2 linked regions of the Caenorhabditis elegans genome follow. The protein of the gene in region 2 interacts with the protein of the main gene of each other region in a biochemical or structural test. Each region holds a gene or a part of one and is shown on either strand. Other genes may lie near its edges.

Region 1 (4,852 bases), on a different chromosome or scaffold from region 2:
ATTTTTTCGATTTTTTAAAGAGAAAAATCGGAATTTTTCGATTTTTAATATAAATTTAAAAAAAAAACGGATTTTTTAATGTATTTTTAGAGAAAAATCTGATTTTTTAATGTATTTTTAGAGAAAAATCTGATTTTTTGATATTTTTACTGAAAAATCGGAATAATTTCAATTTTTAATATATTTTTAGAGAAAAATCGGAATTTTCTCGTTTTTTATAAGAAAAATTAGCATTTTTCAATGTTTTTAAATTTTTTTAAAGAAGAAATTGGAATTTTTTCGGTTTTTTAATATATTTTTTGGGAAAAATCGGTTTTTTTTTTTCAATTTTTAATATATTTTCTGCGATTTAATTAGAATATTATCTTCTCTACCTTATTCCGGAAATATTTTCTACATTCAAGGCATAAAAAATGCCGAGAAATTGAAGTCCAGCTCCGTTCCTCTTCGGTTTTTTGTCGCCGCATTCTTTTTTTCTGTTAAAAAAACAATTTTTCGCTGCAATTTCCGTGAAAAGCATTTAAAAATCGTTGAAACGAATGAAAAATTGGAAATTGAACAAAAAAATGGCCAGAAAATCGAATTTTTATGATGAAAAACCGAAAAAATGAGGAAAAAATGAGGAAAAATGAAGAGAAAATAGAAAAATCGATAAATAACAGAGTTCTTCAGTGAGTGGCGAGAGAGTGTGTGAGATGAAGAGACGCAGGGTGTTCGACAGGAGAATTTATTCATAAATCCGCCCAATTAATCGGGTTTCGACCGGAATTTTCGAGCTCCGTGTTGCATTTCGAGAAGCATTTGCATCCCCACCACTTGCGAGCACTCAGCGGAGACGGATGGGCGGTCTGGAAATTTTTTAAAATTTTTTAAAAAATTAAATTTGAGTTTAGTGGAAATATTTTTAAAATACGCTAAAAAATAGGTTTTTTTTTTCACAAAAATCAAAAATTTTGCGATTTTCCACGTCTGAAACCAATCAATTTTTCCCTTTGAAATTAATTTAAATTTTGGTGGAAAATGTCAAAAATTGCCAGAAAAACTTTAAAAAATTCAAGAATTTCCCACAAAATTGTAGTAAAATTGTCAATTTTCAGTTAAAAACCAAAAAAAAAAACAAGATTCTCCAGGTTTTGCTCCAAATTTGCTCCTTGTTTAAAATATCTATGTGAAAAATTGGAAAAAAAAGTCCCTTTTATTGTAGAAAATCGACGATTTTCAAACGCGCGCCAGACATTGAAGCGCGCTGTGTCTTGTGCCGATTTACGAGCCAGCTTTCAGCTTTTTATTCATTTTTATCGGTTTTTTTCGTTGAAAATTGTGTATTTTCGAGCCAATTGAACATTTTATGATCAGAAAACCGCGAAAATTTCCTATTTTTAGATGAAAAAGGAGGTAAATTCAGAGAAAATCGGAATTTTTTGAGTTTTTAAAGAGAAAATTGGAGTTTTTAAATAGAAATTTTCTCGAATTTTTTTTTCGATTAAAAAACAATTTCTGTTTTTCGATTTTTCTCTGAAAAAATAGAAAAAAAAAATTTTAATTTTCTCTTTTAAAAAATCGAAAAAATTCTAATTTTCTCCTTAAAAATTTCAAAAAAATTCCGATTTTCTCTTTTAAAAAATGGAAAAAATTCCGATTTTCTCTGGAAAACTATATGAAAAAATGGAAAAAATTCCGATTTTCTTTGAAAAAATCGAAAATATTCCGATTTTCTCTAAAAAATCAAAAAAAAAATCGAAAAAATTCCGATTTTCTTTGAAAAAAATTAAAAAAAACGAAAAAATTCCGATTTTCTCTGGAAAGAAATAGAAAAATTCCGGTTTTCTATTTAAAAAAAAAAAGAAGAAAAATTCCGATTTTCTTTGAAAAAATCGAAAAAATTCGGTTTTTTTTCTCTGAATTTAAATCATTTTCCATCTAAAAATAAGGAAATTTTGCGAGTTTTATAATAATAAAATGTTCAAAAAACCGAAAAAAAAAATGAAGAAACAGCAAAAAATTGGCTTTAAAAAAACAAATCTCGTAAATCGACACAACACGGTGCGTTCCAATGAGAATCGTCTCTGGCTCTCTGGCGCGCGTTTGAAAATCGTCGATTTTCTACAATAAAAGGGACGTTTTTTTCCAATTTTTCACATAGATATTCGGAATCAGGGGAAAATTTAGAGCAAACCCCTGAATTTTTTTTAGTTTTTAACTGAAAAGTGACAATTTTACTACCATTTTATGGGAAAATCTTGAATTTTTTTCTAGGTTTTCTGGCAATTTTTACCTAAATTTCCAGCAAAATCGCAAAATTTCCGATTTTACAGGTGAAAATCGGCAATTTTTGTCGTTTTCCAACACATTTTTAGGGAAAAAATCTTAAAATCAACTTTTCCATGCTTTTTCCAGAATTCTATCCAGAAAAATAATGACCTTTATAACTACATGTTTCTTTGTATCAATCAGTTCTTCCTTCTTATGAGCAAATCCTCCCCATAACAAAAAGACAATAGGCTTCTCCGATTGTCGCGAAATAATCCGAATAACAGTGTCCGTGAAAGTTTGCCAGCCGATCTTCGCGTGAGAATTCGCCTCGTGAGCCCGAACCGTCAACGTGGCATTCAACATGAACACTCCCTGACGTGTCCAGCCGAGCAGGTTCCCGTGATCGGGCCGCTTGAAGCCTTCAATATCGGATTCAAGCTCTTTATAGATATTTTTCAGCGATGGCGGCGGTTTTACACCCTTCTGAACACTGAAGGAGAGCCCGTGAGCTTGATTATCATCGTGATAGGGGTCTTGACCGATGATAACCACGCTGATCTCGTCGAATGGCAGAAGATTGAATGTTGTGAAAATTTGTGTGGGCGGTGGGAACACTTGCTTGCCCTTGTTCACTTCGGAATTCAAGAATTTCTCGATTTTCGAAATATAGCCTTTTTTGAATTCCTCCTCTAAAAGTTTCGACCAAGATTCACCGGTTAGCAGGGATTTTAGCAGAATTTCAGTTGGTTCTGGTGCTTGTAACTTCATTTTCTTGACTTCTTGATTTTCATTGCCCGCGGGAACTTTTTCCGGAATATTTTCAGTATTTGAAGCGGATTTTCTGAAATTTCGGTGGTTTTTTTTGAATTTTCAGAGCGGGAAATACCGTTTAGAGGCAGCGGATGCTTTGAGGAACATGTCCGGAATTCTTACAGTCTTCGACATTCTGAAATAAACGGAAATCTAGAAGAAAAAAAAAGAATTTTTATTCAAAAAACACGAGTGGAAATGAGATAAAATAAACCTGAGGGCATAGATAAGGATATTTGAAAAATTAAATCACAAAAATGGGAAATTATTCGAGTTATTTGCAGGCAAACCGGTGAATTCGTAACCTGAAAATGAAGAAAATCGATAAAAATCATTTAATTTCGCATTGACTACGGTAGGTAATTGTGTGCACTTTTGCGTGGCGGTGTATGCACAGAATTGATTTTTAAAAAAAATTAATTTTTTTTTAAATTTTAAAATTAATTTATTGAATTTTTCGACGATTTTCTTGAACTTTTCTCACACATTTTTGTGCAAAAACTCTTATTTTCAAACTTTCAGACTCAAAACGCACTGGAAAATCATTAGAAATGGCACCGAAGAAGAAAATGGTAATTTTTATGGCGAAAATTACTTGAAACAGACAAAAAAATCCGAATTATCGAAAAAAAGGACTCTCCCGCCGAAATGTCTCGTTTGAATGGGGTGGCGGCAGCTAGGCCGTGGTTGCACGCGGTCACGTCCAGATGGTCGATAATATTGGCGTTATTGGAGGAGTACGGGGGTTTTTAATGTATAATAATAAGAATAATAATTCAAAAAAAGTGCACTTTCGGACGCTGCAGCACGGAAAAGTGGCCAAAATTAGAGATTTTAGTTAAAATTAGCGCTTTTTTTTTCGAAATTTTGATTTTTTTTTTCACAATTTTCACAATTCCTTTAAAGGTGGGGTAGCGCTAGTGGGGAAATTGCTTTAAAACATGCCTATGGTACCACAATGACCGAATTTCATGATAAAAAATTCAAAAAAAAATTTATAAATTTTATATGATTTTTTGAAAATTGAAAAAATCACAGTTTTCCCCTAATTCCTATTTGAATTACCGCCAATTGAATTTGTTCGATGGGGCGCGCTTGCACGTTTTTAAATTTATTTATTTTATTTTTTGTTATTTTCCACCGATTTTTAATGTTTTCGGTGTATTTTTGCTCGAATTTTAGAGAAAAAATCAACATAAATGCAAATTTTCGATTAAAAAGCACGCTTACAGGCGTAAAAATGAAAAAGTAACGCTTTTAAACGATTTCGAACCTGAATTAATTAATTTCACTGATTTACGCCTGTAAGCGCACTTTTTAATCGAAAATTTGCATTTATTTTGACTTTTTCTCTAAAATTCGAGCAAAAATACACCGAAAACATTAAAAATCGGTGGAAAATAACAAAAAATAAAATAAATAAATTTAAAAACGTGCAAGCGCGCCCCATCGAACAAATTCAATTGGCGGTAATTCAAATAGGAATTAGGGGAAAACTGTGATTTTTCCAATTTTCAAAAAATCATATAAAATTTAGAAAAAATTTTTGAATTTTTTAATCATGATATTCGGTCATTGTGGTACCATAGGCGTATTTTAAAGCAATTTCCCCACAAAGCGTAGTCCACCTTTAAAATTTTTTGGCACATTTTTCTCAATTCCTTTTAAAAAATGTACCTTGATTCTGAAATCCAGGCTGCTGAGAAACCGTGTCAAACCCTCTGCCAACAAGATTATCCATGTATCCAGTGGTTCCACCGCCGTACCCATATCCATTGCCGAATCCATT
Region 2 (7,942 bases):
AAGTTATTATCTTGTTAGTGACCTTCTAGTTTTTTCAAAATAAAAATTATAAAATGAGAAATTCGGATACTGATTTTTCCATAAAACAATTCATTTTTACTTTACCAAAATCATGTAACTATACACATTGAGAAAAATAAAACATTGTTGTGAAGCGAAGAAAAGGCACTACTCACATAGGAACAATAGATGCGTTTCAAATAAAAAATAAAACAAACAGAAAACTGTTAGATAACCGTGAAATAATGCGCGAAAAACGGGTATAATAATTACAATGTCTGGACTCTCTTCTCTTGAGCATCCATCTCGGCACGAACTGGTTCTGGAAGATCTTCTCCAACTTGTTCATCGAGGAACTTGCGGATTTCTTGAGCATCTTGTTTCCAGTAGTCGGCTGGCACAGACATGAGCTCATCCCAGTTGACCTCTCCGAGTCCTTCCAAGTTGATGGATCCCTTGGCTGGAACTGTTCCGATTGGGGTTTCCACTCCGATTTCTTGTTCTCCATCGAGTCTTCTGATGATCCAGTCGATAACACGGATGTTGTCTCCGAATCCTGGCCACAAGAACTTGTTATTTGAATCCTTACGGAACCAATTGACGTGGTAGATCTTTGGCATCTAAAAATATTAACATTAAATTACTGAAAATATGAAAAAATCGATTACCTTTCTGGAGTCGGTTTTTAGATCCAACCAATGTTGGAGATACTTTCCAAAATTGTATCCCATGAATGGACGCATGGCCATTGGATCGTGCATAACAGTCTTTCCAGTGAATTCGGCCGCAGCGGTAGCTTCTGACTTGAGGCATGATCCAGTGAAGACTCCGTGTTCCCATGAGTTAGTCTCATAAATGAGTGGTACTCCCTGTGGACGACGTCCTCCGAAAATGATAGCCTCAATTGGAACTCCTTGTGGGCTTTCCCAGTCTGGATGAATGATTGGACATTGATTGGCTGGAGCAGCGAAACGCCTGAAAAATTACTTTTACAAACTATAATTTTCAATGTTAACTTACGAGTTTGGATGAGCAGCAACTCCTGGCTCTCCAATGTGCCACTTCTCTCCAAGCCATGTGGTGATATCGACGTTCTTGTCGGCGATCTCATCCTCAAGTCCCTCCCAGAAGTACTCTCCGTTAGCAGTCTCGGCGACGTTGGTGAAGATCGAGTTCTTTTGGAATGTAGCAACAGCCATTGGGTTAGTTTTGTTTGAGGTTCCTGGAGCAACTCCAAAGAAACCTGCTTCTGGGTTGATAGCGTAGAGTCTTCCGTCCTCTCCGAACTTCATCCATGCAATATCATCTCCGACACAACGGACTTTCCATCCTGGAAGAGTTGGCTCAAGCATAGCCAAGTTGGTCTTTCCGCAAGCAGATGGGAAAGCAGCAGCGATGAAGTGTTCGCGACCACATGGACGTGTTACTCCCATAATAAGCATGTGCTCGGCCATCCATCCTTCATCCTTGGCAATGTTGGAAGCGATACGAAGAGCAAAGCACTTCTTACCAAGAAGGGAATTTCCTCCATAACCGGATCCAAAAGACCAGATTTCACGCTCTGGTGGTCTATGAGCAATGAGAACACGTTCTGGATTGCATGGCCAATGGTTGATAACACGTTGCTTGACTGGACGTGGAAGTCCAACAGAGTGGATACAACGAACAAAATCTTGATTTCCAAGAGCATCCCAAACATCATTGTTGACACGAGTCATGATTCTCATTGAAAGCACGACGTAGTTGGAATCAGTCAATTGAATTCCGATCTTGGAAAGTGGTCCTCCAACTGGTCCCATAGAGAATGGAATGACATACATAATACGTCCAGCCATACATCCTGGGAAACGGCTATCAAGCTCGGTGGCAAGATCCTCTGGAGCAAGCCAATGTCCCATGATTGGTTCAACTCCTTCCTTGGTGTGTGTGACAGTGTCATACTTGTTCTTGGTGACCATCCAGGTCTTCGATTCGACACGAGCAACATCCTTTGGATCGGTTCTGCAGATGTAGTTATTCTCATATGCTTCGAGTTTGGAGAGCATTCCACGCTCGATGAGCTTGTCGATAAGTTCATCAGCTTCATGTTGAGATCCGTCGCAGATGAAGATTCCACGTGGACGCATCAACTCGGCCTTCTCGGCGATGAAACGTTGCACCTTGGCTGGCAGAAGATGGAAGTCTCCCTGAAAAAAATTATATATATACCAGCCGCTGACTGCGCCTACGGCGCGGGCAACGACTGGCACCATTAAAAGTATTTGACACACATACCTTCAATCACTCAAAAAATTTCTCATCATGAAAAAAACTTGAAACACTTAAAACGCGGTTTACTGGCACTGTTACATGTATGTATTTTTCTACGACATGCATGTTTCAAAAATTCACAGACAGTATGAAAACTTTCTGTTACTTTTTGGCCAAGACAGTAACCTTACAATACCACTACAGTACCTTGACATTATCCTCCACCAACTCCTAACCCAATATCTCTTCAAAGGACAAAAAGTCAAATTTTCCAAAACTACAGTAACCCTACCGTATACCTACAGTACCCCTATAGTACCACTACAGTACCTTGACTTGATCCCCCATCAACTCCCAAATAACTACCTCTTCTAAAGCTCTAAGCTCAATTTTTCGGAACATTCCAGAATTTTCTCGATTTTTCTAGAAAGTTCTGGAACATTCCAGAATTTTCTCGATTTTTCTAGAAAGTTCTGGAACATTCCAGACTTTTCCCAATTTTTCTAGAAAGTTCTGGAACATTCCAGAATTTTCTCGATTTTTCTAGAAAGTTCTGGAACATTCCAGAATTTTCCCAATTTTTCTAGAAAGTTCTGGAACATTCCAGAATTTTCTCGATTTTTCTAGAAAGTTCTGGAACATTCCAGACTTTTCCCAATTTTTCTAGAAAGTTCTGGAACATTCCAGAATTTTCTCGATTTTTCTAGAAAGTTCTGGAACATTCCAGAACTTTCCCAATTGTTCTAGAAAGTTCTGGAACATTCCAGAATTTTCTCGATTTTTCTAGAAAGTTCTGGAACATTCCAGAACTTTCCCAATTTTTCTAGAAAGTTCTGGAACATTCCAGAATTTTCTCGATTTTTCTAGGAGTTCTGGAACATTCCAGAATTTTCTTCGATTTTACTAGAAAGTTCTGGAACATTCCAGAATTTTCTCGATTTTTCTAGAAAGTTCTGGAACATTCGAGAATTTTTTCGAAATTTCCAGAAGATTCTAGATTTCCAGAATTTTAGAATTTTCAGAAAATTTCAATTTCCCGCAAAAATATTTTTCACAGAATATTTAAATTTCCCGCCAAAAAATTTTTCTCAGAAAATTTAAATTTCCCGCCAAAATATTTTTCACAGAAAATTTAAATTTCCCTCCAAAATATTTTTCTCAGAAAATTTAAATTTCCCGCCAAAATATTTTTCACAGAAAATTTAAATTTCCCGCCAAAATATTTTTCACAGAAAATTTAAATTTCCCGCCAAAATTTTGGGTCTTACCACGGTGGGTCTCACCACGACGGGTCTCACCACGGTGGGTCTCACCACGACGGGTCTCACCACGGTGGGTCTCACCACGATGGGTCTCGCCACGACGGGTCTCATCACGGTGGGTCTCGCCACGATGGGTTTCACCACGATGGGTCTTACCACGATGGGTCTCACCACGACGGGTCTCACCACGGTGGGTCTCACCACGATGGGTCTCACCACGATGGGTCTCGCCACGACGGGTCTCACCACGATGGGTCTGGCCACGATGGGTATCGCCACGATGGGTCTCACCACGATGGGTCTCACCACGATGGGTTTCGCCACGATGGGTCTCGCCACGATGGGTCTCACCACGAAGGATGACAGACCCCGCCCACAATTCTCAGTGACTTTGGGTGTGACGTCACAGACTACAAAGACTACATAGACTACAAACTATGGAACAAACGGAATTATTTTTTTATATATAAGTAATGATTTTGCAGCAAAATAAAGTCTCTATTAGTAGTGTTATTGTAGCTTAAATTATTTATTTCCTTTACCCCAATAAACTAACAAGGTCGCTCGAAGCAAAGTTCGAATTTTGTACCGGTCCTTGCAGTTTCTGCCCTACACCAACAACCGTCTATCGTATCATTTGAACATTGACCTTTCCATTTCAATGCTATCCGAAACTGGTTCCTCTGCACGAGAATCTTTCATGCTGGGAAAAAAATTTGTTTATGTATTTCTCTTGGTTATTTTTAGTTTTTTTTTCATCTCGTTCTCTCACAGGCACTCCTAGATCGATTGACCAGAGGCAGTTACGGGCCGAGTTGTCAGGGACAGGGACACCAACTGCTCCAGCCGACTCCCCGGCACTTGTGCCGAATTGCACGCAGACACGGGGAGGAGAAGATGGAGAAGGTTGCAAACAACCACGTGTAGATATCAAGAAGTTTCGAAAAAAGAAGGGAGCTCATAAGCCACAAGAGCCTGAGACTTTGAACTTTAAATTTCGACAAAATTTACTATCTTTGAAATTTTTGAAAGAACGGAAAGAACTACTTGTTTCCATTATTTAAAAAAAAATATTATATGCTGAAATTGCTTGATAGTGAATTTTTTCCAAAACTATAGTAAACTTATGTAGATACGACAGCATATAAAATTATTCCCAAATAAATATTTTTCCCTTGAGACAAATTTTTAGTTTTTCGTTGGCTACTCTCAACAAACAACCCTCTCGGATGCTGTACAAGAGGACCCTTTCCTGCTTGAAAAAGCCACTTTCCATTTGAAAAAGCAAGGCGCGTGCCAATCCCTCCCTCACATTTTTGTGCGCTCTCGTTTCTTGAATCTTTTCTGGAATATTCTATGGTTCCTAGTCGTAGAAGATCTAAGTGCGTACTTTGCGCTGTTCGAGAATCGCCGTTTGGAAAACCCCGTCTCTGTCCTCGTGGTGTGATATGATATCAGCGAGTCAATCAGTGATAAGTGATAAGAGATCACCTCCTCCTCCTCCTCCTTCTTATTGCTTTGTAATTGGTTTCAAGATCGCTCTTTTGGCCTCTAAAACGCAGACCGTCTTCGGTCTCTACCACTACACACAATAGTTTGTTTATTGTGAAGAAGAAAATATTGGAAAGAAGAAAAGAAAAGCAATGGAATAAAATCTTATTAGCAAATATTTGGTTTTTGTTCGTCCCTTTTGTATTGTTGCCTGGTGGAATGAAATCAGAAGCAATTTTCAGAACGAAACAATTATTGAAAGTTTTTTGGAAAATCAAGAAACGATATTAAAAGTTTAGAACATAATCTTTTCAGTGATTTCTTATTTCAATTTTCTTTTTCGATACCATCTCACATGGTTTTTGATCAAAATCCAATTCATCACAATTTCTAGAATCAACACATTTGTGTACATGTATCGAAATAAATTTTAATGATTTTCTGTACTTTCCACCCAATTTTATCATTTTGTTTGTTCAAGTGTTATACTCGTTGCCATTATAACAATTTAAAAGTGTAAACACTTTCAATTGCTTTCTTTTCGGAACTTTCAAAAATTACCTTGAGAATCGGAACATGTCCAAGACGCTTCATGACGACCTCATTGACAACGTAGAAAGCATCTTCAGAGATCTGACGGAGAGATGCGTTGGCAGCTCCGGTATTCTAAAACAATACATATATTAGGCAAGAACATAAATAAAAAATATTACCTTGTAAGGAGTAAGAAGGTTTGGATCAACAGACATGATTCTCTACACCGACTGTGCCGAAACTTTGGTTGCGGTGTGAATGAGAAGAATAAGAAGATGGCAGGGATGGACGGGATGGGTATCAGTGGCCGCCAGGAGAGAATGGCCCCAAAGAGACGCAGGTGGTTTAAGAGCACACGGAAAGAAGAGACGAAGCCTGGTCACCAGATGCCTCTCTCAGCGTTAACTCCGCCCAACTGTTGTTTTTGAACGATGATGTTCAATGTATGTTGTGTATACGGCGTGCTCGATGGTGGTGTGACTGTAAAAAGAAGAGAGGGATAATGATGGAGAAAGGGCAAAAAATGAAAGAAGGACAAACATTGTTCGATTTAATCAAATGAGTGTTCAATGGTCTGGTGCTTTTGGAAATTAAAATTTGAAAAAAAAATGAAGGTAACAAAGAAGATGAACCTCTAAACAATTTAATACATATTAAACTAACTTATTAAGTTTGAAAAAAGGTTGTTCACATTTTTAAAACTTTGGAACGCCAAAACACAGGAATATATTTATGAAAAAAACTAAAAGCGAAAAATGGCAATGGCTGCTTCCGCAACAATTGAATGAAATTGCCATTTGTTATTTTGGTCAGAAAAGTGTTCGTTTGTTTATGTATTTTGAAAGAACAAAAAAACAAACAGAACTATTTTGGCGCCAAATATTACCGTTGGAAGTGTTCGAGAGAAATAAAAATATATATTATTAATAACTGAACTGAATGTCCGCACATTTACGCAAAATGGTCTTGCCGCGCGTTTAGCCTTTATTTTGAGAGTTTCTGTGAAAACATTGAGTAGATCGCGCGTAGATCACAATTAAATTTCCCTCCAATGTTGAATTTCTGTTTATTTTCCTCAAATTAATTGTGATCTACGTATGATCTCCACAAATTTTTCACAGGCACTCTAAAAAAAGACTGAACGCTCATCAAGACAATTTTGCATAAATGTGCCTTTAATTTCGTAGCAGTGAAAAATAAAACACACACTTTTTATGTCATCACTATGACCCAGGAGTACATCCATTTTTGTGACTCCAATTTATTAAAGTTAATGTTCTTTAAGAAAAAAACTTTGAAAATTGATAAGATATTATAGAAAAGTGGAAAGTTTGTTTTTTTCTCCAGTTCGAATGTTCAAAACACAATTGGTCTCAAATTGTGCACTAAAAGGTATGACTGAAAATCCACTTTTTCTGCTTGAACTCAGCGGATATGAAACCTTTTTCAATTTTATTTTCAAATTTTGACAGAACACAAAATTTGCTACAAAATGGTTACGGGAATTTTTGAAAAAGTTAGTTTGAAGCCAGATATTAATTTTTAAAAATTGGAACATTTACTCATATATAACCGAATAACATAATTTAAGACTTCACATTTGTTATAAATGTTTCAAAATTTTCCATATTTCGTTTTGACAAAGTTCCAAATTTGCTAGAATGATTTATTTTTTGATTTAAAAAAATAACACATGCAGAAGGCAGTGTTTTTGGACAATTTCAAAAATAGTGGTACTGAGTATTTGCCACCTTTTAACAGTGAAAAAAGTTTCAAAAAAAAAGATTTGTTATGATCATTTTAACATAAGAGTAGTGGAAACAATTTTCTCCAGTAGCAATTATACAACTTAAAAGGCCCTTTACAGTCTTTGATCTTCCAGTCGTAACTCTTCTGTTATATATGCACCCATAAACCGCCAGATATCTCCCCCTTTTTCCTGACCTCTTTCCACACAATCCATCATTTCCAGACAAATGACGTCATATCTTCCCGTTGACTGCAACTACGTAATGTTGCATTCTCTTTTCACTTACGACCATCTGCCATTGTGACGTGGCAGAACTAGGCATGTTTTGAGTATTGTAGTCAAATGATGAAACTACATACTTTGCTAGTTCCCAAGAATGAGCAATATTATCGAAGACTATAGATGCTGACTGAGATCTCGAAACGTATAATAAAAGTTACATTTTATACAAAAAATGCAGAATTAAGTGATTTCAATATATTTTACAAAGTGTTTTACAAACTAGCTAAAATATTAAATAGCTCAATACACAACACTAGTGTTTCATATATATTTCTAAAAGTTTCAAAGTTTTAAGAATACGGTATTTTTCTTTGTGTCTTCAAACAAAGGAAATGCAAAAAAAACTTACAAATCTTATCTATCCAAAAATCTT

The links.
Region 1: the proteins of pck-2 (region 2) and ung-1 form a complex in vitro, tested with the Caenorhabditis elegans proteins (one large-scale study listed by BioGRID).

What each region holds. Positions count from the first base shown.
Region 1 is NC_003281.10:11,970,892-11,975,743, forward strand, and holds ung-1 (Uracil-DNA glycosylase), read right to left. Parts: upstream 3,200-4,852; 5' UTR 3,199-3,199; coding exon 3,140-3,198; intron 3,095-3,139; coding exon 2,422-3,094; intron 849-2,421; coding exon 732-848; 3' UTR 576-731; downstream 1-575. Other genes in the region: Y56A3A.28 (C2H2-type domain-containing protein), read right to left, coding at 375-467; Y56A3A.30 (SP-RING-type domain-containing protein), read right to left, coding at 3,313-3,368, 4,741-4,852; Y56A3A.31 (SOSS complex subunit A homolog), read left to right, coding at 3,615-3,635. UniProt on the Caenorhabditis elegans protein: Excises uracil residues from the DNA which can arise as a result of misincorporation of dUMP residues by DNA polymerase or due to deamination of cytosine.
Region 2 is NC_003279.8:7,864,211-7,872,152, reverse strand, and holds pck-2 (Phosphoenolpyruvate carboxykinase [GTP]), read right to left. Parts: upstream 6,018-7,942; 5' UTR 5,753-6,017; coding exon 5,717-5,752; intron 5,670-5,716; coding exon 5,565-5,669; intron 4,577-5,564; coding exon of another isoform or gene 4,235-4,576; intron 3,058-4,234; exon of another isoform or gene 2,253-3,057; coding exon of another isoform or gene 2,187-2,252; coding exon 1,021-2,186; intron 976-1,020; coding exon 669-975; intron 621-668; coding exon 270-620; 3' UTR 53-269; downstream 1-52. Other genes in the region: R11A5.6 (uncharacterized protein), read left to right, coding at 4,235-4,576.